Tribolium castaneum: one gene and its partners. The protein of the gene in region 3 purifies or fractionates together with the protein of the main gene of each other region. This does not show direct contact. Links are inferred from orthologs where the notes say so. Each region holds a gene or a part of one and is shown on either strand. Other genes may lie near its edges. The genes, in order: Sf3b3, probable ATP-dependent RNA helicase DDX20, SmD2, Sf3a1, Cdc5, Prp19 and noi.

Region 1 (4,708 bases), on a different chromosome or scaffold from region 3:
ATTTAGATTTTTTTCAAAAAATGTTGTTATAATGAAAAATTTGTTAGGCCAATATTAACAGTTCGTCTTGCGCAACAAGAGCCATGCCAACGGGTACACCAATTGGTAAAGAGTTGAAAGAAAGAGTGATCGATGCTTTCTTAAACAATGAAAAACAAGCGGATATTGCAAGAAGATTTCAACTGCCTAGATACAGCGTGTCTAAAATAATTATTCGCTACAACGAAAGAGGACATTTAAACAATAATCCAAAATCGGGACGACCACGAAAAACCACTATAAACATGGACAGACGCATTAAAAGAATTTCGGAAAACGATCCATGGAAATCTGCATCTAAAATTATAGCGGAAATACCGGAAGTAGGAGTTAGTACACGAACAATTCAAAGAAGACTGGTTGCAGCAAAGCTTTTTAGTAGACGTCCTGCTAAAAAACCTTTGATTTCCGAAAGAAATAGACGCGCCAGACTTCAATTTGCAAGAGAACATTTGAATTGGACAAAGCAAGATTGGAGGAAAGTTCTGTTTAGTGACGAAACTCGATACAAATTATTTAATTCGGATGGAATGAAACGTGTGAGACGGCCAATCAATACACGATTCAACCCCAAGTATGTTACACCCACTGTTAAACATGGTCATGGTAGCGTTTTTCTGTGGGGGTGTTTTTCGTGGAATTGTGTGGGTCCGTTGAGCTTTATTGGGGGTAATATGGATCGGTTCATCCATAAGGACATACTCCAAGATGTAATGCTGCCGTATGCAGAATGGGAAATGCCTCTTCGTTTTATCTTTCAGCAAGATAACGACCCCAAACACACTTCTGCATTGGTCAGTGAGTGGTTCCAAAATAATAATATTCATGTTTTGCAATGGCCTGCCCAATCACCAAACCTCAACCCAATTGAGAACTTATGGGAAGAGGTAGAGCGACGAATCCGGATACAAAAATTTCCCAACAAGCAATCTTTGATAGATAAAATCAAAGAAGTGTGGTCAAATCTGGATGAAAATGTTATTCAAAAATTAATTTCTTCAATGCCCAGACGGTGCCAAAAAATTATACTTAATAACGGCTATGTCATAAATTATTGAATTTTTCGTTCTATTTATTTAAACTTTAGTGTTGGGTAGTGTTATGTAAATGTTGAATCAAATAAAATTTGAGTTGAAAATATTTTCTGACAATGTTGCCTTACTTTTGTCGCATTAATATCGGGCTTTTTTATATTTCAAGCTAGTAGCATGTCATAATAATTACCCATTGGCTATCCATGTTCAACACGAATAAGAATATCTTTAAACGTTTATTATAAAATTAAATTGAAGGTAAATACCAACTCTTAAAATTTAAAATACCAATATTTGTATATTTTTCAACATGTTGCCTTACTTTTGTCCGATAGTGTATTTTAAACAAATACTTTTTTCGACAAAATAATTAAAAGTCAAAATAAATGAATGGTAATTCGGATTATGTATACTATTTTACTTAATTTGGGAGTTCGGTTAATAGAATCGTACGGATTATCCGAGCCGTCTAAATGCAGAACTGATTGCCAAAAATTTTAAAAATAGCTTTCCCGCACTGTCACATTTAAAATTTAAACAGCAATTTCTATTTGTTTTTACAAAATTCATTCTTTAATACAGTAAAACTATACAAAAGTTTCGAATTTGACACAAAACTCACTGGGGCTTGATAATGTATTCTTTAATTGTGGTAATCTATTTCGTTTTGTTTTTAATTAAGTAGGTATATCCCATTTCAGGTCGTAGAATTTTGCAAAAACGTATTTGCATTTTTTGGAGTAAAATGTAACGCAAATTGAGTTTCTGGTGGGTTTTCTTAGCACAAACTTTTTTTCTTTTACAGAAACTTACAATTTTGCACAAATCGCACTCCAAAAATGTCACTCAGATGCAGATGTAATTATAACTTTCTAAAATAGTTTTCCGCAAAACTAACTAATAAAGACCGCACGTTTTTTGTGCATTCATTAATTTTTACAGAACAAAAATACTTTAATAAAAAATTTGTACCTATTCAAAATGTAAGCGAGTTTTTGTTTCTCGACGGCGCCTATCATTACAGCACGTCCTCGAGGGTCAGTGGCTAGGTACTGGCCTGGAACAATACGTCTGACCCCCGATTTGCCGAACGTCTCCTGGTGGACCTTCTCGAAGTTGTTTTTAGACGGGATATACTCAAGAATAACGATTCTGCCGGAGTCGGAGCCCACGATGACGAAGTCTTTGGTGCCTCCGGTGAGTCGAAACGACATCAACGAGCGGACGACTCCGAATATTTCGACGGTTAGAAGCGTGTGGACTTTACCGGTGTTGGGGTCAGGCCGTAGCACTTCCAAGCTTTTGCCACGTGAAATGACAATTTCTTGCATTTTGGTGCCGGAAAAATTGCCATGGATGGCGTGGGTGATGGCTGTGGCCCTTTGTAAGGTCAGGTTGTAGAGATACATTTTGGGGGCTTATCTAGGAAGAAAAGTGAGGTTAGAACGTATCATTTTTTAGTTGAAAATGTGGGGCACTAAAACCAGGCTTTAGCTTGGTAATTCGCTTGAGCCAACGATGCGATGTGCCCCATAATATAGCACCCTTTACGACCTGTACGTATACAATACATAGGTACAGGAGATACCAAGTGCATCCGATTACAAATTTTTAAAGCAACTCGTTAATTTGGGCAAAAATACGTACTTGTGATTAATTATAAAACAAAATCAAAGCTAAATTTTGTTACCTTGAACGTGGATGAGCTTCGTTTCGTTCAATATTTCAAAGTTTTTCAACCATTTATTTTCGATTTTCGCATGGTTCACATTGTTGTGACGTGGTGACTTGGTTATTTATTTGAGCGTTTTTGTCGATGGTTAAGTTAATTAAAAAACAATAATAAAGCACCTTTTGCAATGTTTTGATACATTATTTAGCAAAAAAGTACAAAAACTAACTGCAAATGGCGACAGACCGGCAAAATAACGCACAAACACCGGTGAAGTGAGAAAGGAAACGGAAAGAAGAAATGTAGTGCTACTGCGCGTGCGTGTTGGCTATATTTTTTACTACGCAAGCGCAAAATTTCTAAACCAATCAGAAAATTGAGAGGAAATTTCAATTTAAATAAATTTTTCAGAAAATTATCTTTGGCCAAAATTATACTTTAACAATTTATGCGTTTGATATTGCCAGTATGTATCTTTTGTTTTTACCGTACTGTAGGTACTGTATTTAGAACTTGATTGTGTTTATCTCAATTTGAGGCAAATAAGAATCCAAATTCTAGTAAAAAGCTTATTGTTTTGTACCATATTTTCCGGACAATTTTCAGAGTTTTAGTTCAATGCAATTTACAGTAATAGTCTTATGCGTTTGTTTGATGAAATTTTAAGTTATTGTAAAGATATCATATCTTCCTTATTATAAAAGATACATATTTAAAACAAAAACATTATACAGGCACTTTTTTACAGAGAATTTAATAATGTTAGCAGCGATTTTTTTTACTCATTCGCTTAGCTGTAATGACATAAAGTTTTATTTTTTTAAATGAGAATTATAGTTGGCTATGACATTTTCGAAAAGCTTTTTTTTTCTGAACTCAAAACAATATAAATATAGTTTGATGTTTTTATACAGGGTGCTCAAAAACTGGCGCACCAACTCAGTGGTACGTTATTGAGAAGCAAGTGCAGATTACGGGAAAAATGTTGAAAAAATTCCTAAAGTTATATTTTAAAAAATCTGGAGCTACAAACTTATTGTGTTAATTTCTTTAGTTTTTATTATTTTTTTATATTTTTATTTTTCATACCAGGTAATCGTTCCGTAACAAAACGATTAACAATTATTTTAAAATTTACTATCAAATTTTAGCAGTTTTTTTAATATAAAAAAATTAAAATTTATCCAAAAAAATCACAATGTGTAGATGTGCCAACACTGGGAATTATTTCCTAGGAAACCGTTTCAAATATAATTTATTTTTATTGTTGCTCAAATTCTATTGCGATCATGACTATTAGACAACGTTGCCACATATCAATTACTTAAAATTAGTTATTTATCAATAATTTTAATACAAAGAATTTTTTTACTATTTTTACCATTATATGTAACCACTTCTCTATCACACACCATTGAGTTGGTGCGCCAGTTTTTGAGCACGCTGTATATTTATGATAAAAATATATTAAAACATTTGAAAGTAGTTGGCTATGAAAAAATTATTTCACATAAAAGGTGTGAATAATCTAGAAATTTTGTGAACGGTTATTAAAGTAAAAAATGTGAAATTATAAAAATAAGCTGTGTTGAAGTTATTTTGAATTGAACAAATATACGATGATCGCAGATTTTAATTACATAAAAAATGTGTAGGTGACGTTGATAATGTTGTATATTTTTTTACCGCAGATAAAATTTGATTTGGTGTTTGGATTGACATTTTTTTTGTAAAATAAAATTTTATTGATACGCAATCATACAATTATTTTTTTCTTTTTCCGACATTTCATGTTTAAAATTGTAAAATAGAATAACAACGTAAGCTTGCCATTTTAAATATAAAAACAAATAATTTTTATTAATTGCAAAAATTTAAATTAATAAAAATTTATTATGCTGTTTTGGAATTAAGGATTTAAAAAATCATTAAATTATAAATATATATATATATATATATATAT
Region 2 (3,684 bases), on a different chromosome or scaffold from region 3:
AACTGTTCAAAAGCAAATGCAAGTAAGTGAAGTAAGTAATTTGGGATCCTATTCTTCATAGTCCATTTTTTAAATTCCGCGTATGGATTGGTTGAGGGGTCCATAGTCCATTGCAAAACGTCTTGGACACTTTCAGAATACATTTTTACGAATAAAGTAATGGCCAAGTTATTAATTTAATTTCATGACCCGCGCAAGTGCAGTCAACTGTCACAAAATCCCTTAAATTTCGAACTTGAACTTTTTTGCTAAAAATACTGTATGTTACCACATTTATAAAGCATTTTGTCGCACTTACTCCTAAATTCGTGCGTGCGACAAAATGCGTCTTACAAAACTCGTTCGTATCATAATATACTATTATTTTTGTGTACAAATGAAATAAAATAGTTGTGACATAATTTCCGAATTATTACCAATGTTCCCAAGCCCTAATTCCCGTTTCTCTCCACCGTGTCACGATCCGAGGCCGTCGTCTTATTCACCTTGGGGCGCTCGTTCTGGCGTGCTAAGATCCAGATAATCCTCGAAACATGCAACGGACACGACAAAAACGCTCAGATTTAGGCCATCAAACGCCGACATTGCATCTAACCTCCGATAAAATCCGCCGCATCATTTGCATTTCATTGTTTTATGCACTTTTACCAGATGGTTAATGCACTCGCTAATTATGCATTTACCGCATTTCCGGTTTTATTTTGCGCAACTTATTGCCGACCCCGAATGAATTATTATCTCGTTGTTCTCAGAAAAATAAAATTATTGTTTGCATTGCTCTTGTTATAGAGTCACTGAACCGCTATCACGAAAATAAGACGCACACACTTAACAGGTTTTGTATTATTTATTATGACAGGAACTGCTCAAGGCGGGACAGGGAAACATCCGTTATTTATTACTTCGTCTCCTGCTTTCTTGATATTTACTCATTTCTTCGATGTAAATGTTCTGCTGGACGTAGTTTCGGACAGATTGGAGAGACTCCTGCCAGTGGTAGAACCAATCGTCGAAACTTTCAACCGTTTCAAAAGTCAAACCATTTTGCCACAAAACGTTACTACAGTCCTCGAAAAATTGATCAAAACGTTTGCCAGAACCTTCCTGAACCACTGGAGCCCATTCGAGAGATACGTCATTCCTATGCACTGCTTCCTCCATTTCGAAATCTTCCTCTTCTTCGCATTTTTCCTCCTCTTCTTCCACCTCTTCCTCCTCCTCCTCCTCCAGATCATTTGTTATCTCAACATCAAGTTCTTTACCACGGTTTTGGAATTTTTCGAGCTCCTCCAAAGGCAAATATTCCGTCCAAGTCCTCCTCCCCCCACTATCAATAGCACAGTCATACGCCGCCGTGAAAATTCCCTCCATAAAATCCTCCACTTGGGGAGTAACAACCGGGACTTCCTCCTCCAAGTCATCGACTTTCAAAATTTTAAGGTAATTATCGACCGAGTCGGTAATGTCCCCATCTATGTTAATCCCCGGATCTAGTAAAACCTTAGTCAAGTTAAGAAGCCCCCGATTTTTACAAAAAGTGTCCTGTGAGAAATCATTTTTGCGTTTCTCCTTTTGCAAATCGGGACTAGCTTCCGGGTTAACCCTTTTACGTTTCTTCCCATCCTTGCGCTCCTTTAGCTCCATAACCTCACTTTTCAAATTTTCGCTAACGTCATTTGAAGTGTCAGACGGCACGACCCCCCTTATTTGTTCCAGTGTTTTCAAATCGACTTGCCACAAATCCACCCCCTCCAATGGGGGCAGCTTGGCAATGGATAAATTCCCCCCGATGGCCCCCAGAATGTGCTGCAATTTGGTCACTTCGGGCCCCTCTGACACGAAATTAATGCAAAGTCCCCCCGAACCGTAGCGACCAGCGCGCCCCATGCGGTGCAAGTACGTAACAGCGTCGCAAGGCAAGTCGTAATTTATCACAAGATCGACATTGGGGGCGTCAATACCCCGTGAAGTCAAATCAGTTGAAAGTAAAATGCGATTTTTAAATTTTTTCAAATTGTCAATCGCCTCCAACCGCTCGGTTTGTTTCTGCGCCGCTGAAATAAAAACCGAATCCCAGCCCTTCTGGTTCAAATAATTCGAAACTGTCTCGGTCCGTGATTGGTAATTCGTAAAAACCAAACATTGGACGAACGAAACTTTCGTTAGGATTGTTATCAAAAGATCGTTTTTTATTTTCATTTGTTGGACTGAGTTAAGGCCGGGCCTTAGCATGGCTGCGAATTGTTTAAGGCCGAGTAGGAGTGGGGTCTCGTTTTCGGACGTCACGTGAGTCGGGGATTGCATGTAATTGGCTAGGAAAGTGTCAAGTTCTTGTGGGTAGGTGGCGCTCGATACTATCATTTGTTTGCGAGGGGGCAGACTGTTGTAAATTTCGTTAATATCAGACTGGAAACTCTCCTCCATTAATTTATCGGCTTCGTCGAGGACGAATAGTTTGACGAGGTTTGTAGTGAGGGCCCCCATTTTTAGCAAGTGTTTGACTCGGCCGGGGGCCCCCACTGCGATGTGACACTTGGACGATTTCTTCAAGTCGTCTTCGAGGGGCCTCCCACCGATGAAACTCTCGATTTTGAGGCCTAAAACGTGCCAATTAATCAAATTATTCAATGAATAACGTGTATCAAGACAGCCGTGATATATACAGGGTGCTGCATTTTGGATGTCCGACTAGGAGAACTCCGAAAGTAAAAGATTTAAAGAAAAACGAGTCACATTCGCGGCTCCGTTTTTTGAGAGAATTATTTTACCCAAAATCGCATCCTGTTATAGTCTTTTATTTTCGACTTTCGAAAAAGTTGTCATTTTAGTGGAATATTAAAACATTCATATCTTCCTTATTATAAAAGATACTTATTTAAAACAAAGACTTCACATATTATTATAACAAAGTCACGTTTTACAGAGAGAGAATTTAATAATGTTGTCAGCGATTTTTTTTATATTTCGTTCAACTGTAATAACAAAAAGTTTTATTTTTTTTTAAATAAGAATCATAGGCGGCTGCAGTATTTTTTAAAAGCTTATTTTGTTCTGATTTGATATATCTATTTATGTAATACATTATTTTTAAATATTAAGGAAAACATAACATTTCGCTTTTTCTTTATGGTAGGCCATGAAAAAAATTTCGATTTTCAATAAAAACTATGAAAAAATATATTACCCAACAAGTATTTATAATTTAATGATTTTTTAAACACTAATTAATTCAAAAACAGCATAATAAATTATTATTAGAACAAATTTTTGCGATTAAGAAAAATTATTTGTTTTTAGATTTAAAATGGCAAGCTAAAATTGTCATTCTATTTCTTAATTAAACATGAAATGTGGAAAAAAGAAAAATCTTATTAATCGTATTGCCTGTCAATATTTATTTTACAAAATATTTTACTCTTTTGTAGTAAAAAATACATAACATTATCAACGTCATCGCCATTGCACTTCACTAAATCATAAGAAAGTGTTATTAAATAGTAGTGACACATCGTTTTCAGTTTTCTGAACATTTTTTATGTAATTAAAATCTGCGACGATCGTATATTTGTTCTATTGAAAATAACTTTAACATAACTTATTTTGATAATTTCAAATTTTTTACTTTAATAACCGTTCACAAAATTTCTAGATTATTCACAGCTTATATGTGAAATAATTTTTCCA
Region 3 (2,680 bases):
TTAACTTAACATTTGACAATGCAAAATAAATGTTTAATTCTGAATTAAATTTTACTTGCGCTTTCTGTAAACTGAACTACATCTAGTTGGCATTCCGATAATTTACAGCAGAGGCTAGTTTATTAAGGCATCATTTTGTGGAGGGTTGAAGCATTTAATCAAAAAATAATTTCTAGACGTTCATGGAGTGCGTACGTCTGAAGACTTTTAGTAAATTTGGCCTCCAACAAATTCAAGTGGACACGCATTACTTGCAGTTGTATTTGTGGCGATTTGTTGCGGATGAAAAGTACGTCACGAATTTGAATTTAGTGAAATTAATTGAATTTTCCAGCTTGGTTCATTTCCTCCTGGATGAGATTTTGGGATCAGCAGTCCACAGGTGCCTGGAACCGATTTTAATGGAACCAAGCGTTGTGGACATCATATGTGAAAGGGGTTAGGTCATGCAGCTTGCATAAGTTACAAATATTTATTATTCTTTTGTATTATCTTGTTTAAATAAAAAGGAGAAATTTTATCACATTTTGTTGTATTATTTTTATAGATAAATGTTAAAAAACCGTTCAATCTTTCATTTGCAACGACATGAATGTGATATTTCCACAGTATCACGTTCGCGGTATCAATCAACCGCAGAACAGAAGGACCACACGAGTGAAGTGATAGGTAAGTGAATTTCCTCAATAAACACTAAACTGAAGATACAAATTTTATTCCTAATTAACCACTAGCCGTAGCTAGGGGGTTCCTTACAACTATAATAACCGCATCGCCTCGCAGAAACATTTTCGAAATGAACCGATCCTTATTTACCGGCTTGGCTTTCTTCTTCCCCTTTCCAGGCCGGGGCAGCTCTGTCCACATTTCCTTCACATTCTCCAACACTATGTTGCAGTGCCGATCGAACGCCTTCACCCGCCCCAGCAATTTCTTGTTGTTTCGGCAGTTTATCAGCACCTGAGTGTTGTTCTTCACCGACTGAGTGAGCACCGAAAGGGGGCCCGTGTTGAACTCTTCCTCCTCGCGAGCCTGAAGCTCCTCGGCCGTCATTTCAGACTTGGGTTTCGTTAAAGCCATTCTGACTCGGTTTTTGCACTTAAAACAACACTTTTTCCGGCACAAAAATAGTTAGGTTAGGAATTTGAGCGTTTTGGATGCGTTTGGGGAATTTTGCAATGCGCATGCGCAAACTGGGTTTAATACTATGGCGGCAGATTCAAACATTTAAAGTGAAGAAAACAAACTTCGAATTAAATCAACAATTATTCTTCTCACATTTAAAGTTACATTAAGATTACTCTTTTGAATAATTAATTAAGAGTTTTAACATACTCAAAAACCACGATCTAAAAACTAATTACAAAATCGAGCAAATAAACCAATTTATAATCCATTGAGATGAAGACGTTAAATATAAGAGCAACAAGCTATTAATGAATCAGATAGGGGAATGCACCGTTTATTATAATTTAACTAGAAAATGTAATAAATATTGCAAATACGAGTATTGCAGTGCATTTTTCCAACGAAGGGAGTTTAATTCCCAGCAATTTGTTAGCCCCAGAATCGAAAATTAAATAATTACGATAAACAATAATCACTCTTTATTTATAGTAAGTATAACAATAAGAGATAACCAGTGCAAGTAATTATTCCAGCAGCGTGTTTATTTAAGTATACAAGCAATGCCAACGCAAATAATAATAGAATAATCATTAAAATGCAGTGAGGAGCCGATAAACCACCCCGTCCCGCTATATAAATTAAATACTTGAAGAAACGCACCAGAAGAAAGCCTCTTGTCCACCCGGTATTAAGTAGTTGCGCCGAAGGTGATGTTTTTGAAATCTCCTCGGTCTGGCTGCTTTATACCGCATGGATGAAAATCACCAAAAAAAGTCTGTTTTCTTGTCACACGTTGTCAGATTTAATAATTCTTAATTCGACTTCCTCATTTGCGGCGTTTCCTGTCGCCGCCCGTCTAAGGTCCCGCATTTGAGGCTTCGTTTTTCATGAGTTCGGTCTTCGTGTGCCTACCTTAATTCAATTAATCAATTGACCAGATGAATGGAATAAAGTTCATATGTTTGACATCGACGATGAACATATTTAAATCTCGTTAGGGGCCACTTCGGACTAAATAGGATAATAGCCGATGCTTACGGCTGCTTGCTGAATGCCTCTTGTGTCGAGATACACGCGCTGTATTCAATGATATTGTTTGTGTTGGGCAATTTTCTATTTTTGACGCAAGTGTTTATAAGAGTGGACTTTTGCTCAGGTAATTTTTGGGGAAATGTAGAGTAGTTCTATGTAGAGGAGTTTGATTTGGAAATGATTTTCCGGGCGTTTATACGCGAAAATTTTCCAAGCACTTGCTATTAGTGTTAATTTTGTAATGTTTTAGAGAGTAAAGGGGTACCAATCATGCAATCAAACCAATCAACGGCGGCATTACTACACATATTTTTCGAATGACATCGAATCTCATCTTTAGTCCTTAGATTTTTTCTTAACAACAGTTCCAATTTCATAAATTTTCTGATAAAAGAAGAGTCCAGGCAGAAGTATATTTTCTGTTACAGTTTTAATAATCTTCGTTCACCCATTAAAAAAAAATCCTATAAATAAATTTACTAAATATCTAAAGTTGATTCATAACTTGACTGTATCTAAT
Region 4 (4,542 bases), on a different chromosome or scaffold from region 3:
TGTACCAAATTTTTACTTTTCTTAATTGAAAGGACGATCCAAATAAAATAAAAGTTCTGCCATAACAGTTCAAAAAAAATTTAATGAAAATAACGGTTCCGGTTTCAGTTCAGGTTAAGTTGCGGTCCGGTTTTCGGTTCTGTATTAGTCAAACAATATCATTAGATAAAATCAAAAATTTTAATTGAAATGAAATTTACACATAGCGGAATTATATTAAAAAAAATACTTTAAAAAAGAATTTAACAAATTAGACATCAAATTATTCCAAGTGTTAAGTATTAAATTTCTGAATCTGAAACATCAAAATCTGTTTTTGAATCAGACTCACTTAGAGAAATAATAAATGGAGAAATATTTGCAATGTGTTTTGTCCAATCTGAAGCAATTAATTATTCCCAGTGTTTACAGAAATTTTGCCACATTTCGGGTGTACATTTTATGAGTGATTCCGACCATAGATTTGCAACTTTATTTCTGTCCAAAGGTTGCTCATTTGTATGTTTATTATAATAGTTCTTAGAAAACCCCTATGCCAATGAATTGCGTTATACTAGCGATGATATGGGGGTAATCAAAGAACTTCATGTCCATGGTCATTTAAAACTTTATCTATTACGTACTGTTTTTAATTATTTGCTTTTAAAGGTTTTATTAAATCCTACAACTGATTTTTAGTGAAGTATTAAATCAAATTCTATATGATGATTAATCAACCATACCTACATTTTACCCTTGGTAGAAGACGACGTGGGCATTTTTTCCAATTGCATCGAGTGACACGGAGCACTATCCATTATCACAACAGATTTAAATGGTAGTTTTGCTAAAGCAGGAATTAATTGGTTAATCACCCATGTTTGAAATATTTCTCCATTCATAGTTTTGTGATAGCCTCTGTCATTATTCGCCACATCCATTAAAAGGTCACATCCTTCCAAAAAAGCAAACCGACATCCCGCATATAATATAGTGAACCTTTTGTCTTCACTTTTAATTTTTGAAGGATTGCTTTTTAGGTCTTCTTCGTGAACCCACCGTCGAACATTGCTGCCATTTTGATAAATCCACCTTTCATCCAAATATACAAAAATAAAATTTTTAGTGTTTTAGAGTTTTGGTACTGAAGAAATTTTCGTAAAAAAACAATTTTTGATATCAGAACATGTTTTTGTTCACAAAGATTTTTCTTCTATTAACTAAACGAAATCTGTAACTCATATTTTTTAAAATTCTGTATGAAGTTGTTCGCCCTCCTTCAAACTCCAAATTTTCTTTTGATTCTGTTAGTAATGTGTCTAAAGTAAAATATTGATTTTTTTAATTATATTTCGAAGTAGGTATATTTAATTTCAGTTCATAGTAGAATTGCATTTTTCAACAGCGGATGTGAGTATTTTGGAGTAAAAATTAAGCCCAAATTGAGTTTCTGTATAAGAAAAGAATTCACACTTTGAGCTAAGAAAACCCACCAGAAACTCTCATGTTAAAAAATGCATATGCGCTGTTAAAAAATTCTACTATGAACTGAAATGGGATATACTACTATGGAGAAGTATCTGCTAATAACAGGAAGTGCCTACTTTTAACTATAGTCTTTTGTTCCCGAAAGTAAAGTATTTACTTAAAAAAGTAGCATTTACTTCACCCATGTCTTTACTCCACTGGACTGTAGTATTAGCATCTACTTCATTTTTATTTATACCACCCAATGATTTGTTTGGCATTCTGAAGTCCAGAGCAATGTCATACGTGTAGTTTTCACAAAATTTCAAAAAAAAAGATCCTTAATGAAAACCACATTAAACTTGAATAATTGTTGGTATTTTCATGGAGTTTAGAGAAAAGATAAGACAGCTTAACTGTTTATTTACAAAGTTAAAGTTACGTCTCGGAAACGCCTTCAGACCTTGGCTACATAATACTACGAAAATACCAACAATGATAAAAAAGGAGAATAATTTTTTTTTATAATTGAACTTGAATGTTTTTCGCAGAAAAATGATGAATGAAACGATTTGTCTTGAACGGTAAACTAAAAGGTTTTTTTTGCATAAAAACAGTAATTCCACTTTACATTCACATTATAAACAAGTGTTCAAAATTAGTTAATGTTTGAAAAACTTTATTAATCCGGCGTTACTCAGGTGAGTTTTTAGGACACCAATACTAAGGTGGGGTGTGACACACACATCAAAGAATGTGTTTGTTATTCTGAAACTATACCAAAGCATTTTACACTCGATTTTACATAAAGTCCAATATTTCAAAAAAGTCAAATCTTTACCTAGTTTTATAGAGCAAAATTTTTGGTAAAAAGTAGTAACGTAAGTAAGTGGGGTGTAACAAACCCCAGAGCCATAAAATCGGCTACAACACACATATTATAACAGCCAGGTGAAAATTATATTATATTATATGAAAATCATATATTACATCATATTCGAAATGTTTTTGCAATCTACTGAAAGGTGCATACATATAACATTCCTATCTAAAAAACCAAAGCATTTTTTTACTCTGGGGTCTGTCACACCCCAACTGAGTAACGCCGGGTTAAAGAACAAATATTCTTCAGTGTGACCAACCTAATAAAAGAACCATAGGTCTACTTTAACCTGATCAACTCGATTAATATATTTTTATGTTCCTTACCTTTCCCCTCTCGAAAATCGTTGACTTTGTGCTGATAATACGCATGGTAGGGGTCACCAGGATTCAGGAAATTAAATTTCGGATTCCCTAATTCGTTCTGTCTGATCCTGGCCTCAAATTCTGGCCCGTTTCTGGCCACAAAACTGGCTGTTTTATCGACGATATCTTAGCAAATTGTCAGGAAAAATACAATCTAACCTGAATTTTCCGACAAATCTGAAATTTTCACAAAGGATACTTCTCACCTCTGGTGGTGGATAAATAATACCCACCACTGGATTTATCGGTCCGGGATCGTCCGGATTTGGATTATTTGCTTCCAAAACCGGCATTTTCACTATTTTTTCTTACAATAAGCTAAATAAACACGCTAACAAACGCTTGCTCAACGTAAAATGAAGAGAGAGATGGCAATAAAAAATAAAATTGATGAATACTCCAAACCACTAGAGGCGCCACAAGCGGTCTTTACAGAATTCTATACCAACATTTTACGCGTGTAAACTGTTTTTATATTTTTTACTTTTGTAGTTATTTCTTATATTTTTTACAAATATTATGTATTATTATTATGTATTATAATATTATGTATTACGTTAATATCTATATTACAACTAACGCTTGTGGTTGCGGATCAAAAAGAACGATTAATGAAACCTAATTTATAGATTTGAAACAGCTTATATCTCATTTCAACTCATAGTAGAATTTTGCATTTGCATTTTTTGGAGTGAAGTAGAGCTCAAATTGAAAGTTTCTGGGTTCTTGGCTCAAAATTTGTTACTGAGATTTAGCTTAACATATATTTTTTTCTTATAAAGAAACTTTCAATATGTGCTTTATTTCACTCCAAAAAATCCAAATGCGCTGTTGCAGAATTCTGCGATAAACTGAAATAAAATATATTAGCTGTTTCAAAACTAAAAAAACGCTAACGTCGCATTTTTTTTTGAATTAGGTGTTATAAATTATTCATGTAGTTCAAAAAAATAATAGATAATGTAATTTATACTTGGGAAAGCTAATCAATAATAATTATTTTACATTTTTATTAATCTTATTTAAAAAAATTATTTAGTAAAATGCGACGTTGGTGTTTTTATAGTTTTAAAACAGCTAATAATTTATATTCAACATAGTATTTAACATTTTAGCGAACCTTGAAAAAACGTTGTACCTATAACTTCTGATAGTTTTCAGCTTCAACAGATCAATATTTAGTTCAATAAATTAAAAAACATAATAAAAGTAAAAAAATATAAAAATTTATGTTTAAACATTTGAGCTAAATTACTCTACACCGTTAGAGGACGCTTCAAAACAGACAGATAATTGACAGAAGAATTTGACAGTACGTTTGTGGTTTATGCTGCCCTCTTTTACCAACGCTTCCAAGTTGGGAGTTGTGCGTTGGTAAGGTTGATAACCTGTGGTTTGTTATTGTTTATATGCGGGAAAATTTCATTTTTAATCGAATTTTTCCAATGGGTGAGTTAATTATTTGATTTTTGATTATTTTGTGTTGGATTAGTGTGAGTTTGTGTTATAAGATTGATACCGGAAGGCCGCTTTCCTTCCGTTTTGTTTGAAACTGCGACGGAAATTTCCACAGTCGCATCGGCCTGGTTTATTTCCTAGTGGGCTAGAAATTGTTTTTTGATAATTTGAAGGGGTTGAAATGAAGGGGGACATTCTAAATTAAAAAAATGCGGCATTAGTTACTTGCTAGATTTTTATTTATTTAAAACAATTTATTTTAAGAGTCGCCGATTTTATTTATTATTATATTTTTTTTTAATTATAGAAAGATACAATTTACAAAACTGTTTTTTTTAATAACTTTTGCGTCGTGACCCATTTAAAAACCAATACTCTAGTCGTCGATGA
Region 5 (4,475 bases), on a different chromosome or scaffold from region 3:
CGCGCGCCATATGTGAGCGGTTCTGTTCCAGTCTTTTTTCCGCCGATTCTAACCGCTCTTTTTTCGACACTAGATTAGCCCTCGTGTATTTGTTTAAATTTGGAACAAAAAGCACTTGTCCCAGACACTCCTCCCAAACTTGGGTGTATGCCTCCAAAGGTAATTCCCCATGGCCCATTCCATACTTTACAATTTCCATTTCACGTTTCAATAATTGTTTGGCAAGTTTTAAATCATCCGATTTGAAATCGTCATACGGGTGCTGTTCCAGGAATGCCAACTGCTGGGCCTGAGCCAAAGCCGAGCGCTTGACTTGGTTAGGGTTTTTCAAATTGTCAAATTGCAACATTGTCACCATCTCACACTTGATCAATTCCTCGGCTTTCTGCAGCTCGGTCAACGAATGCGACTCGTGATTCGGCCGCAAAACGGCCAAATTTACATCGTGGGGGCGCGGCAGCCCCCTTTGAATCACCTGCGACCGCAGGGCTAACTCCTGAGCCGCCCGAATTTTCGCTTCTTCAAGCGCTCGCGCATCAACATCTGCCTGATCTTCGACAATATTTGGCGTTTTTTCTTCTTCTTTTTCCTCTTCTTCCTGTTCGGGAACGACGATTTCGTAGTCGTTCTTCGGTGTCGGTAAACTACTTAAGCCTAGTCTTAGTTGTTCTTTTAAATTGTTTTGGAGCGAACGCTGTTCGGCTGGAGTTTGTGCCACCATTTCGGTGTTTTCCTCATTTATATTGAGTTTGTCACGAACTGAAGGCGTAAAACTGCCTTGGGGGCCCTGCGGTGTCATGAAACCGGGGGTTTGGGCCCCGAAAGGGGTCGCCAGGACCGTATTGGGAGTGGCTATGGTGAGGGCTTGTGGTAAAACGCCCGAAAAATCCGAGTTGTGAAGTGGCGTGTTTCGGCCCCCTTTTGAAAGAGATATACAAGGTGAGGCAAAGTTTGCAGTTTGGCGTTTTGCGACTAAACTATTAACTTTTTGGGAAAAGTTATTAGTGGATGGTACACTACTATAAAAATGGGACTTTTTTCAAAGTATAAAGTTTTTTAATTTTTTCGTTCGTTTTGAAGTTATGGTATTTTTTAGGTAGTAACCCACCTAGAAATTTTTTTATTGGTTATTAAGTTATTGAGACAAATAAAGTAATAAAAAGAAAGAACTACAAGTCATTTAATGTCAATTTCATTTTTTTATTTTTTATTTTTTTTACATATTATGAACAAGAAAATTGATATTTCATCCAATAAAGACAGATTTGGAATCTTCAAACAATTTTAAGTCACATAGGCATGCTCTTGGCAGGGTATTCAGTTATTGTGACTTAAATAGTTTTTTTATTGGTAGGTGACAAAGTAAAACTTTTAACTGTATCTCTATATTTAGCTCGTATTATAAGAAAAAAAAAATTTTTTTTTAATTTATTTGTACCTTTCTTAATTATTATTACGCACATTTTTAAAAATCAAGAACTTACAAAAGTTCTTAATTTCGGGATATTTTTGAGCAATATAGCGGGTGAGGCAAACTTTGCAATTTAGTATTTTTTGGCGAAACTATTCACTTTTTGAAAAAACAGATTGGTGGACGGTAAACTACTACAAAATTGCAATTTTTTTTCAAGAATAAAATTTTTCGATTTTTTCGCTCCTCTTCGAGTTACGTCATTATTTATTTATTTTTTTGTGATTTTTTTTTTACCTTTGAGTGGGGTATCCACATGCGTCAAAGCCATGACATTTTGCGCTTCTTGAAGTATCCGATCAGTTTGCGGTGCCGGAGTTCGGGGAGTCACCGCTGCCGCTTGTGGCGCCGCCACCGTATAATCATTGAACAACGTATCAGTCGACTCGATTCCACTCTCTGCTGCAACTTCACGTGCAACTTCACTCGCTTTACCCAACTTTACGACTTGTTGCAACTCCAGATCGCTAATTTGCGGCTCGGGAAGTACCAATTTCGAGCGTTTTTTCGCCGGTTCTTGATTCTGTAGCATCGCTTGTGGAATATCATTTTCTTTTCTTTGTTTTAATTTTTGTTTATCTTTGCGACGTTCGCGTTCTTCTTGTTCGCTTCGCAGTTCACCGTCGAGATGTTGTTGACGCATTTTGTGAAAATCGGGCGCCATTGGATCAACAATTTCGGTGGAAGTGTCGTAAAAACCAATCGCTGGACGTTTTTCGAAGGGGATTTCCTCATTGTAGTCAACACCGCGTTTTTTCTTACGACGCGAATTCACTTCGATGCCGGCAGCTCGAAGCTCGCGCCTTTTTTGCAGTGCTGCCAATCGACGCGCTTCTTCCAGCTGCTTTTCGCGCGCTTTTCGCTTCGCTTTTTTGCCCTGGGTGTTGGCAAGCCTGGCGCGCGCCTCGGACAACATCTCCAGCTCTGCAACGACAAACACGCGTGCCAACCTTTTTGCGTTATAGTATACTATACAGGGTGATTCTTTTGCGGTTTTGAAATTTTTATTGCATTTTTGAATTCGTGTTTTGAAACTGAGAAAAATGTACCCCATTTGTTAGCTCTTACCATCCTCGTCCATGTCTTTGGGGTCGGGCCTCGCAGGCTTGGTTTCCGGATTGGGGTCAATTTCCCCCGGTTTGAGCTTCCGGGGGTCGTCCGTGACATCCTCCCCTTCTTCCTTCTTCTGTGCCTGATCCAGGAGGTACTCGTAGCGCTCCAAACACTGAGCGGCCGTTCGCCCGATTATGGGGGCTATCGTGCGCCACTGAGTCGGCATTAACTTGGCCAAATGTAGCAACTTTTCGTCCTCTTCCCGCGACCATTCCGTTTTTTTAATACTGGGGTCCAACCATTCGAACCAACGCGCTTTACACTGTTTGGCCGATTTGCGGTGAAGGAGCGAGGCAATTCGAGACCACTGGTTTTTCCCATATTTCATTACCGCCGCTTTGAGGATCTCATCCTCGGTGTTGCGCCAAACGCCCCCCTTTATCATTATACGCGGCATTTTTGCACTCTTTAGTTAAAAACCTAACCTCACTTTTGACAAAAACTTAAATTTTATAACAATACCACTAAAAGCACGATAATGATGCTTGGGTCAACACTATTGAGTCACTAATTAGATAAGAAGTAATTATTTTGGGACACTAATGCAAAAAACGGCCCTTTTTAAACGGCTTGATTTTTGGTTATAAAAATGGCCGTCCTTGAGTTGGCATAACTGTTAGTCGAGAAAAAACAAAAATTGGGGATTAAAAATAATCAGAACCGTACTTAGAACGTATTAATCGTGACACGAGACTGATCTAAAACGTGATAATTTTTTCCTGTCTTGAAATAATTAAAAAAGTGTGGTTGGTATCTCGCGTCAGTCGGCGAAAGTCCCTAGCCCCCCCAAATCCCTGTGTTTATTTAACCCTTTTGAAATGTTATCTCGGTGATAAAGCGCCCAAGTGTTGCCCCCTTTCGCCCCAATCGTCTAAATTCGGGCCCCAAGCCCTTAATTTCGCCCTTAACCTCACTTCTCCTGTCACTTGTCACTCCCAACTGTCATTGTTATTAGCCCCCAGAGAGCACCATGTCGTTCGCTTTGCGCGTCAAAACCAAAACGGGGCAACAAGTGATCAAAAACCTAACACCTGAGCACACGATCAAAGATTTGAAGCGCCAGTTGTGCTCCATATCGCAGATCCCCGAGGACAGGCTCCATGTGTTGTCAGGGTTCCCCCCGAAGGCGTTCGCCTTGGGGGACGATGGTCTCGAGTTGAGTCGCAGTGGTCTCAAGTCGGGCGATACCCTGATTTTGGAGGAGAAGGCCCGGGAGACTGCGCCCCCCTTGCGGGGCCATATCAGTGAAAGTGTCGACTGTCCGGGGATTCTGATGAAGAAGGTGGTGCCGGCCGACAACTCGTGTCTTTTCAGTAGTGTTTACTTCGCCCTGAACGGGAAACTGGACGAGAGTGGCACGGCAGCCCCCTACATGAGACAAGTGATTGCCGAAACGGTGGCCAGCGACCCCGAGATGTTTTCCGAGGCGATTTTGGGGAAACCCAACCGTGAGTATTGCGCCTGGATCCAGGACGACAAGTCATGGGGGGGCGCCATCGAGTTGGCCATTCTCTCGAATCACTATGGGTTCGAAATTGCCGTCGTAGACACGATCAACGCTATTATCAACCGGTTCGGGGAAGACCAGCATTACACACTTCGAATTTTTCTAATGTTTGATGGTATACACTATGACCCCCTTTTTTTGGAATCGTCCGATGTAATTTCCTTACTCAGGGGGTTATCAAAAAATTATTTGATTCGTTTCAGGGGGCGAGTATTCAGACGATTTTTCCCACTGATGATGATAAGGTTTTACAAGAGGCGCAGGAATTAGCGCGCGAGGCGAAGTCGAGTCGACAATTCACTGATGTTAACAAATTTACGCTAAAATGCATGAATTGTAATATTTTCCTTAATGGACAATTGCAGGCAAGGGAGCATGCGCAAA
Region 6 (4,654 bases), about 5.9 Mb from region 3:
AAAAAATGAGCTGAATTAAAAGTGAATTTTTGGCAGTTTTGGCGAGTTCTAATGAAATGAAGAATTTCCTGGTTCAAGAGCGAACTAAATAAATGGTATCAGGTGTTCATTATTTAAAAAAAACTCGTAGCATGCTCTGACATTTTTACGGATTTCGTAGATCAATTTTTATCATTGTATTGTTGGTTGCCTATCAACCAGGTCATCACAATTCATAGCCAAAGATTGTTAAATAGTGTTCAAAGGCGATGTGTTATGTGTGTTGAACAACAAGGAAGACATTTCCAACAGTTTTTATAAATAATAAATAAATTTTATGATGAAAATCTGTTTTCTTTTAGTTGTCAAAAAGTAAGGTTATGAAAGAACGGATTAATCACAGACATAGTAAACAATTATTTTTTTATTTTCAAAGCACTCTAGAGTTTTTTTTAAATGAACACTTGTTATTGTGTTAATTAATTTGATGATTTTAGCCAATTCTAGCAAAAGTTTGTGCTTACAGCCCGGAAAAAAGTAAAACTAACACAATTTTCGACTTATTTATAATGAGTTTTGACGAATTTCACTCAAACTCAAATATACTAAATAATTAAATAATAATTAATGTCGATTCACTTATGTGACAAGATATTACAAAATAAATTAGTTTCCGAATGGTTTTGAACGAAATTTTGCGGAATATTTGTGGTTTTAAGTGTAAAACGTATTAAAATGATCGCAAATGAAAAATTAATGTAGTTTTCTATATTTAATTTGGCGATTAAAACAAAAATTCAAATGTGCTTGAAAGCATGAATAAAGAAAAAATAAGAATTTTAACAATTTCATTGGTTTCTTGTCTTGTTTTTGGGAACATTTCATTCAAAAATAAGCTGATAATAAGTTTTTGATTTTTAGGTGTTTTGTCAAGATCTCGTAAAATAAAAGAGTCGGCTTTTTATTTTTTTTACGAAATTTGGAAAACAGTTCTGTCTTAAAAGCGTACTAAAATGCTCGTGAACTCGAAAAATAATAAAATCTTAGAATTAATTTGGTGTTTTTTTCATCTACCTTTTTAGAAAAGCCTCAAAAAACAGAAAAATTATTTCTGCATGTTTTTCTCAGTTGGTTTTGCAAAATTTCGCCAAAAAAGCTGAAAATTAAATTCAAAAACGTGCTCTAAAGCTTAAAAAACGTAAAAATTTTGATCAAATTTTGTGGTTTCTTGCGTTTTTTTTTAAAGGGAATTTCGCGAAAGTTAATCAAAGTTAATAAAAACAAAATAATAAGTTTATATTTTTATTGTTGGGAAATAAATAAATTCCTGGCTCAAAAACAAACAAAATCGAAGGGAATGGTCTAAAATAACAACCATCTTGATGTAAAAATAGTGCTTTTTTATTAAGTTTTTGTAATGTTTATAGAAAAAAGCTTAAATTGTTTTCAAAAAAAATTTAAAACACTTGAAAACAACAAAAAAATGTAACATTTTCGCTCTTATCTTAAAAAAAAAATTCGAAATAACTACATTGTCGAATGTTATACGAATTAAATTGCCGGAAAATGGCAAAAATAACAAGATTTCAACGAAATTTTGCTTTTTGACTGCAAAATGTATTACGAAAATAGAAGATTTCCCAAATTAATTTCCTGATTTCTCAGAATAAGTTCGAGATAAACAACCTGAAATGACATCATTTTCGATCACTTTATTGAAATATTTAGATATTTACTTAAAAAAAACAACGCATTTTTGGCTCAATTCAATTAGAATTAGGTTAGAAAGAAATTCTTTTATTTGAACGAACATTTAGTTAAAAAATATCAGTGTTTTGAACACATCCTGTGACTTTTGGCTTATTTTTGATGAAATTTCGCCCAATAACAAGCTAAATCGAGTAAATCCAGCAAAATAACACCAACCTTTACACGTTTTTCCAATTGGTAAATGTGCTAAAACACTCGTAAGAGAGAAAACTAAGTCATTTTCTACCACATTTAGTAATCTTTGCATTTGTCAAGTGAAATTTTTAAAACGACAATTGTGCAAAATGCAAGAGATGTTCGGGGAAATACTGGATGGTATAAATAAAAACATTGAAAATATACCGGATGTGAGGCCAAAGTCTTGAATCCCCTCAACTGCTCCGGCGTGGACACCTCTTCAGGCACCGTCTTGCTCCTCTTCTTCCTCTCCTGCGTCAACACCGTGGCCTTGTCCTGCAGCTTCTCAATCACTTCATCAGTCAGGCCGCATTGCTCTGTCGGCTGGTTGGCGATGCCGCCGGCCTCGGCCGCCACCGCGGGCTGCGGCACCGTGATGATGCCCGCTTGGGGCTTCAGCGTGGCCAGCGCCTCCCTGGCGGCGGTCACCTCCTTGTTGAGGCGCGCGATCACGCGACACGCGGCGTCGTGCTGGTAGAGCGCGTGGCTCAGCTCCTGGCGCGCCGTCTGCAGCTGCTGCCTCTGCGTGAAGCTGTACAGCATCACGGCGTCCCACTCGTCCTGCAGCAGCTTCAGCGTGGCCGGGATGCTGGTGGCGCTCGGCGGCTTCGGCTTGACTATCGGCGGGGCTGTGTGGCGGTTAGAACCGAACAAGTTGGGTTAGGCTACTCACTCTTAATTTCAATGAGCTTGTCCACGGTGAGCTCGTCACCGCTGATGGGGTCCTTGCCGTGCTCCTGGATGTACTTTTCGATGATGCGTTTTTCGAAAATCGCACCCGACGTTGGGGACACGACTGGGTGTTCCGGCACCTCGTTTGAAACTGAAACCGGGCCAAATCGTTACCCAAACTGCGCCAGAAGCTCATTACTGACACTCGAATTAAGTTTTGATTCGTTAAAAAAGCGTACTTTATTCAAAATCGCAACAAAAATTCATACTTACGGGCACAAAACAACGCCATTTTTGCTAACTTAGCTTGATGTGTCGCCAACCGCACAAAGTGAAAAACACTGTGGCCGAGATATCTGTGCAGATGCACTAAAAATGATGATGGCACCATGAACATTACAGTCGACCAGACAATCGTTGCGCGCCTGGAGCTAGCAACATTCTCGTTTCTACAGCCAAGTTCACACCAGGAAAATTATCAAAATAATCGTAAATCATTAGAAAAACATACCCTGATCATTCTAATGTGTTTCTATTACAAATTAAAACTTGACTACATTTTTATTCTTATATTCAAGCAATGCAAATTGTTTTTTTTCACCCCCTTTTTACCGTGCAATGTTCATTATTTTTGTAGGGGAATAAGCCCTTCGATAGGGCCTTCGGCTGTAAAAAAATGTCTCAATTTTGCAAACTGCGTTAAAAAAATTCGTATTTAAAGATTGCTCTAATCAGTCAAATTAATAACTAATTTGTCCAGCAAGAACCACGTGGAGGTTTAGAGCATTCTTGCCAGGAAAAAAGGAAATAAGGATGAGGTAAACAATGATTATTGGAAAATAAAAGGGAATAAAGACATTACTGGTTTGTGTAATAAAAAAAAAGTACACAAAAATCAAAGTTTTTCACTTGGCGTTAAATAAATGTTCTTACCTTTATACTGCATCTGCTACCATTTGTAGCAAAACCTAAAAAATAAATTAAAAACACAACCAACAAAAAAAAATAATTTGTAGGAAAGTTACAAAAAGCGACACTAATAAATATTATACAGAATAAAGGATGCACAATACGGTATAATATATGGCACACAAGCTATTAAATTCAACACATCACAAGATAAAACGCAAAAAAATGCACCTACCTTCATATGGCTTCTGCGTTGGCTACTGTTTGTAGCAAGACATTAAAAAATAAAAACAACACCAATAAAAAATCTTTATTTGCATGAAAGTTACAACAAGCAACATTTGTCAATATTAAACAAAATAAAAAATACACAATACGTTTTAATATGTGGCAATTTAAATTTAAAACTTCAGTAAATAAATACACCTACCTTCATATCGCTTCCACGTTGGCTACCGTTTGTAGCATTAAAAAAATAATAATAATAAAAATGAAACCAAAAAAAAATGTTTGCATTAAATTTAGAGCAAGTGACTTTCATCGATTGAAATTAAAGACAAAATCAAAACGCGACGATAAATTGTTTGAGTGTTTTCTTTTTAGTTACTGAATTTAAAACTCAAACTATGACTTTTCAACACCGTATTAGAGCCGGTGTACACAACATTTTATTTGCAATTAAATTTTAACGAATTATTGGTTTGTGAAATAAATAAATACGACACAACAATAAAATGGACGTACCTGTGTTTCGCTTCCACGTTGGCTACCGTTTGTAGCATAAAAAATAATAATAATAAAAAAGAAACCAAAAAAAAAATGTTTCTTTGCATTAAATTTTGAGCAAGCCACTTTCATTCATTGAAATTAAAGACAAAATTATTACGTGGCAATAAATTGTTTGAGTGTTTGATTTTATTAATAGTTACTGAATTTAAAATGAGTCACTCAAACTGACTTTTCAACACCGTATTTAGAGCCGGTGTATACGACATTGTAATTGCAATTAAATTTTATGAAATTATTGGTTTGTGAAATAAATAAATACGACACAACAATAAAATGGACGTACCTGTGTTTCGCTTCCACGTTGGCTACCGTTTGTAGCAAAAAAAATAATAATAATAAAAAAGAAACCAAAAAAAAA
Region 7 (4,467 bases), on a different chromosome or scaffold from region 3:
CGTTACTGAAATTATCGTTGCGAAAATCGCTGCCAGTAACACGGGCAGTAGCTGGAAGCCCCACTGGAACCCCGTGATTACGCAAAAACTGATTCAAATCGCAGTTTTCTTACCTGGTACGTCTCTTGAGTCGAAAAACTCGAGAAGACCTCACCGAACCAACTGGACTTGAGGGTTTCTTCATTGTTTAAGTTGTATACCGCATTTAATACGTCCATTTTAGCTCGCACATTATAGAAATTAGACTCTGATGATTAAAGAATTAGTGATTAAAGGTTGAATAAAATCACAAACCTATTTGGATGAATTTACCCACTTATGTGTCAAAGTCAAATCTGGTCAAATCACAGGCACAAACAAATGCGCATCGTTCGGTAAGTGAGAAAAATTGCAGCCGACTGTGCATTCAACCGAACTCTAAAAACACGCTAAATGAGTACTTAAATTATTATTTATTTACGCAGAAACTACTGAATAATTTCTTAAGTAACAGGAATAATTTTCACTCTCTCTATCCCTATTTCGGGCTCAGTTTTGTACGTTCGTGCTAACGAACAGTCGAAAATTCCCCTTCCCAAGGCGACCATCAAAATAAAATGTCAATATTTAAAGTTTTGTTTATGTTTTTTATTGATACTTATTGTTAATACAGCACAAATTACAATAAACCTTGTCTTTTAAGATCCTCGTAAGTCTTTCTGTTAACGACGTTCCCTTGCGAATCCTCGTACTCTTCCTCTGTTTCAGGTTGCCAACGCTCTGCCTGTTTTTGCACTTTGAGCTTCTCCCACACTGGAAAACAACCGTAACAAGGTAAGAAACCAAAATTGCAACTTCTTACGTGCTAGGGCATCCTCAATTTGCGTCACGTTGGCAAAATGCGCGGTATTGGGGATTCCCAGACAGCGCATTCCATGAGCGTGTCTCCACTCCGCAAAGTGTCTTTGAAACGCCTTTGGTCCTTTATAGACGTAATTGCCGCAAATTTCGCAGTTGTAACTGATATTCAAACCGTGGAGTTTGTACAACCAGTATGGAATCGGCTGCAATTACGAAACAATCAATTTTACCAACTTACTTTCAAAATCACATACTTTTCCATCCCAGCCCAAAGGTAAGTTTTTGGGGTTGTAGGGAACGTCATCGTCGGCTTCATCGGGACTTTCCTCCTCACTCTCCTCATTTTCACTATCGTCTCTTTCACCATCCGTCCGCGCTTGTTTTCTCTGGACATTTTCCTTAGTTGCCGCGCGTTGAGGGGCGACCAGCTCGGCCAACCTATAAACTTGTGCCTCAAGACAGGCCAGTTCTCTTTGTCTCATTTGCTCCTTTTCCTTACTGGCTTTGCCAGATTTGTTTTTAGTCATTAGAGACGGATCTAGTGAGCCTTTGCCCTTGGTTGAAAATAAACGCTGGGCACGCTCTTCCAACGTCCTAAATAAATAATTAGAATTTTATTTATGGCAAGACGTAAATAATTACCCGCCACATTTTAAACCAAGAGCCATTAGGGCCGACTTCAATCTGTCCAAACCTAAAGAAGCCAATTCCTCCCAACTTGAAAATGCGGACAAGTCTAAATGGGCCCCAACGTTCGCCAAGGCCGACCCTGTCTCTTTCTGAAAGTAAATGAAGTAGTAAAAATAAATTAGTTTTTTACCAAATTACGGGCCATCCTGGAACAGTCCCATTCTCCCACTGGACCATAACATTATCAACTTCGTTTTGCAAATCAGCATCAATGTCCATCAAAGGTTTGACTCTTTGCACGAACCAAGTTAAATACTCAATCAAGCAAAGCAAATATTTGCGATATTCTCCAGTTTTGCGTTCTTTAGGAATGTCATAGAGCTGGTCAAAAGTGCCCAAATATGTGATATAATCAACCTTTTCAATGCCTTTCAAATTGATATATTTCTCGTAACATTCGTGCAAATCCAAATATTTCCCATAACCTTCCTCATCCGTAAATTCAACCAAATCTTGAAAAAACAAACGTAATTAAACAACTGTGATCACACGAGCCTAGCAAGACTCACTTGCCATTTCTTCAGTGGGATTTTCACGCGCTTTGGCTAGTTCATCGAACTCAACAGACATTGGAATACTTATCTGAGAAAAAAATCATTACACAAACACACAAAATATTCAAAAACTATACCTCATTAGGATGCTTCCTGTAAAAATCTTTAATCTGCTTGAGACGATTGTAAAACTCCTGAAACTCATTTGGACCTGTAAGGGCAGCGACTTCCGCTTTTCTTTGCCCGTCCTTGTCCTCATACAGCTCAATCAAACGATCAGTGGAGGTCATATATTTGTCTAGCAGAAATTTAAGGCGATAGTCCGAGTTTATTGCCTCGCGGTACTAAAACAAAGACTCTGTCAGGGGGCAAAGCGCCACGAGAATCACAACTTACCGTTGTTTTTTTATGTAAAATTTCTTTAACCATTGCGTCAATGAGACGCTCTTTTTCCTCGTGATAACGCCGTTGTTGCTCCAAAATCGTCTCCATTGCGACTTTTTTTAGAAAATTGCGAAAATTATTTATTTACCCGACGCCATCAAATGTCGACTGTCAAAAAATGACAAAATGTCAGCGTAGAATAAGAGAGAGGTGCACCATTATTGTCACACTAGAAAATCACTAAGCGGTTTTTCTTTGACTTTACAATTTTTTTACGACTACAGTTGTGTCCCAAATGAAATTTTACGTAAATAGTTATGCCACAATAACATTTTTAGAGCTTTAATATTCTTAAAAAATTAAATTAAGGCTAAGGCGACTTTTTATTGGTCCGGTTGGTAGCAGTGTCTTTAATCGTGTGTCAGTAGTTTGGTATTTTCATATTCTATGTTCTAATTCATTCTATTTTGCGCCGCAAATGTAGTGTTGTACTGCAGCTGTTGTTAAAACTTGAAAGTCATCAAAAATGAGTCGTGACGAGTCCTTCGTTGCTGTGAAAAACACTGCAGAGTCCATGGTTCCGTCAATCGGGTCCGATGATGAAGATTCATTTGTCGTTTTGGAAACTTCAAATTCCATCAGCGAAAGTTTGTCTTGCAGCCCTCCAAGGGACGAAATCTTGCCCCCAATAAGGACAAATAAGGTTCACGAAATGGAAAATCTAATCAGGATGAAAATATCACAAATTACCGTTGATCCGTTGCCAGAATTACCAGCAGCTGTTGATGCGATTGTGCCCTCAGTTGCAAGTATTGCAATATCGCCGGATTCGTCGTATGAAGAGATTCAAAAACAAGTGGAAGAACTGATTAAGGAAAACGAAAAGTTGAAGAATATCATCGCACAAAATAACATGAGTATGAAGGCGCAGTATACGAGGTTTTTGGCCTACAGGGATGAGGTCACCAATGTGATGAAGTCCTACAAAGATAAGTTCAACGATGCCAAAATGTGCATAGATAAGTATAAAGAAGAAAATGCAAAGTTGGTTAGTGACGTTGAAGTTTACATCAATCTTAAAAAGCTCCATGAAGAAGAAATCTTGAATTTGAAACTGAAGCTTAAGGAATTGGAAAATTTGACCAACGGCCCCAACTTTTCAGTTGTTGACACAAGGAAATTAGCAATGATGAAGGATTTAGAACTGAAACAGGAAGAAATTGAAAGACTGACGCAAAAATTGGTGAATGTACCGAACCTTGAACAGGAATTACAAACCAAGCAGCAACAAATTGACGACTTTAAACTGGATATTCTCGCCGCAAAAAATCGCGAAAGCGACCTAATTGACGAAATCCAGTCAATGAAGACAACAACCACCGACCTCCAATCAAAATTGGATAATTTAACAAAAGAAAACGCAAAACTCGTCCAATCATCGACGGCAGCCCAAACCTACGACCAGCTCCTCAAACTGAAAGAAACGGAAATCTTGAAACTGAAGGAAGAACAACAACGCACCGCTTTCGTCGAATCCACCCTCAGTGATGAGATAAAAACCCTAAAATCGCAACTTAAGGAGCTCCAAGACAAGTACAACCCGCGTTTGGCCGAAGATTATGCCCAATCCCGGGCCCAGTTGAGCGTTGCCCAAAGGACAATCACAGCATTGGAACAGGAAAGGGAACAGAAGATTAAAGAAATCGAAGATTTGCGTAAACTACTTCAAGAAAATACAAGTGCCAACGACGAAATGTTCGCATTGAAGGAACAAATCGAAGTGTATAAGAACGATTTTGAAGCAGAGAAGAAGAGCAAACTTGCGATGAAACAAGAGAAGGACCAGGTTGTTGAAGATTTGCAGAATCTGCAAACGAGGAACAAACAACTGCAGAATGAAGTGGAGAGGCTGAGGGCGAGGAACGAGCCGCCGAGGGCCGAGGGGTATCAGTGCCCCAAGTGCTCGTTCGGATTTAATAATTACCAGTCATTGGAAAATCATGTTCATAGGTGCTTGGATTTGGACGGTTTTCCCTAAATATATTTTTTGACTAGTATT

The links.
Region 1: the proteins of SmD2 (region 3) and Sf3b3 fractionate together in Homo sapiens (co-fractionation; 4 studies listed by BioGRID and IntAct, with this or other methods). This does not show direct contact. The link is inferred for Tribolium castaneum from reciprocal best matches to the Homo sapiens genes SNRPD2 and SF3B3.
Region 2: the proteins of SmD2 (region 3) and probable ATP-dependent RNA helicase DDX20 purify together in Homo sapiens (affinity purification with mass spectrometry; 3 studies listed by BioGRID and IntAct, with this or other methods). This does not show direct contact. The link is inferred for Tribolium castaneum from reciprocal best matches to the Homo sapiens genes SNRPD2 and DDX20.
Region 4: the proteins of SmD2 (region 3) and Sf3a1 fractionate together in Homo sapiens (co-fractionation; 3 studies listed by BioGRID and IntAct, with this or other methods). This does not show direct contact. The link is inferred for Tribolium castaneum from reciprocal best matches to the Homo sapiens genes SNRPD2 and SF3A1.
Region 5: the proteins of SmD2 (region 3) and Cdc5 fractionate together in Homo sapiens (co-fractionation; 3 studies listed by BioGRID, with this or other methods). This does not show direct contact. The link is inferred for Tribolium castaneum from reciprocal best matches to the Homo sapiens genes SNRPD2 and CDC5L.
Region 6: the proteins of SmD2 (region 3) and Prp19 fractionate together in Homo sapiens (co-fractionation; 3 studies listed by BioGRID). This does not show direct contact. The link is inferred for Tribolium castaneum from reciprocal best matches to the Homo sapiens genes SNRPD2 and PRPF19.
Region 7: the proteins of SmD2 (region 3) and noi fractionate together in Homo sapiens (co-fractionation; 3 studies listed by BioGRID and IntAct, with this or other methods). This does not show direct contact. The link is inferred for Tribolium castaneum from reciprocal best matches to the Homo sapiens genes SNRPD2 and SF3A3.

Annotation. Positions count from the first base shown.
Region 1 is NC_087394.1:10,470,125-10,474,832, forward strand, and holds the start of Sf3b3 (splicing factor 3B subunit 3), read right to left. Parts: upstream 3,048-4,708; 5' UTR 2,764-3,047; intron 2,496-2,763; 5' UTR 2,483-2,495; coding exon 2,046-2,482; intron 1-2,045. UniProt on the Homo sapiens protein: Component of the 17S U2 SnRNP complex of the spliceosome, a large ribonucleoprotein complex that removes introns from transcribed pre-mRNAs.
Region 2 is NC_087394.1:23,203,690-23,207,373, forward strand, and holds the end of probable ATP-dependent RNA helicase DDX20, read right to left. Parts: intron 2,598-3,684; coding exon 892-2,597; 3' UTR 829-891; downstream 1-828.
Region 3 is NC_087395.1:17,190,638-17,193,317, forward strand, and holds SmD2 (probable small nuclear ribonucleoprotein Sm D2), read right to left. Parts: upstream 1,181-2,680; 5' UTR 1,081-1,180; coding exon 724-1,080; 3' UTR 700-723; downstream 1-699. Other genes in the region: Vps51 (vacuolar protein sorting-associated protein 51 homolog), read left to right, coding at 177-289, 335-443; serine-rich adhesin for platelets, read right to left, coding at 1,941-2,036. UniProt on the Homo sapiens protein: Plays a role in pre-mRNA splicing as a core component of the spliceosomal U1, U2, U4 and U5 small nuclear ribonucleoproteins (snRNPs), the building blocks of the spliceosome.
Region 4 is NC_087397.1:12,582,625-12,587,166, forward strand, and holds the start of Sf3a1 (splicing factor 3A subunit 1), read right to left. Parts: upstream 3,063-4,542; 5' UTR 2,988-3,062; coding exon 2,894-2,987; intron 2,821-2,893; coding exon 2,656-2,820; intron 1-2,655. Other genes in the region: peroxidase, read left to right, coding at 4,104-4,143. UniProt on the Homo sapiens protein: Component of the 17S U2 SnRNP complex of the spliceosome, a large ribonucleoprotein complex that removes introns from transcribed pre-mRNAs.
Region 5 is NC_087400.1:3,566,776-3,571,250, forward strand, and holds the start of Cdc5 (cell division cycle 5-like protein), read right to left. Parts: upstream 3,187-4,475; 5' UTR 2,982-3,186; coding exon 2,540-2,981; intron 2,396-2,539; coding exon 1,709-2,395; intron 919-1,708; coding exon 1-918. Other genes in the region: Yod1 (ubiquitin thioesterase Otu1), read left to right, coding at 3,555-4,244, 4,295-4,475.
Region 6 is NC_087395.1:23,125,758-23,130,411, reverse strand, and holds the start of Prp19 (pre-mRNA-processing factor 19), read right to left. Parts: upstream 3,004-4,654; 5' UTR 2,996-3,003; coding exon 2,872-2,995; intron 2,750-2,871; coding exon 2,600-2,749; intron 2,556-2,599; coding exon 2,092-2,555; intron 1-2,091. UniProt on the Homo sapiens protein: Ubiquitin-protein ligase which is a core component of several complexes mainly involved pre-mRNA splicing and DNA repair. Required for pre-mRNA splicing as component of the spliceosome.
Region 7 is NC_087397.1:5,206,115-5,210,581, forward strand, and holds noi (splicing factor 3A subunit 3), read right to left. Parts: upstream 2,660-4,467; 5' UTR 2,517-2,659; coding exon 2,421-2,516; intron 2,369-2,420; coding exon 2,162-2,368; intron 2,113-2,161; coding exon 2,040-2,112; intron 1,983-2,039; coding exon 1,669-1,982; intron 1,620-1,668; coding exon 1,483-1,619; intron 1,435-1,482; coding exon 1,095-1,434; intron 1,044-1,094; coding exon 842-1,043; intron 793-841; coding exon 659-792; 3' UTR 606-658; downstream 1-605. Other genes in the region: neuropathy target esterase sws, read right to left, coding at 1-63, 114-218; NF-kappa-B essential modulator, read left to right, coding at 2,935-4,446. UniProt on the Homo sapiens protein: Component of the 17S U2 SnRNP complex of the spliceosome, a large ribonucleoprotein complex that removes introns from transcribed pre-mRNAs.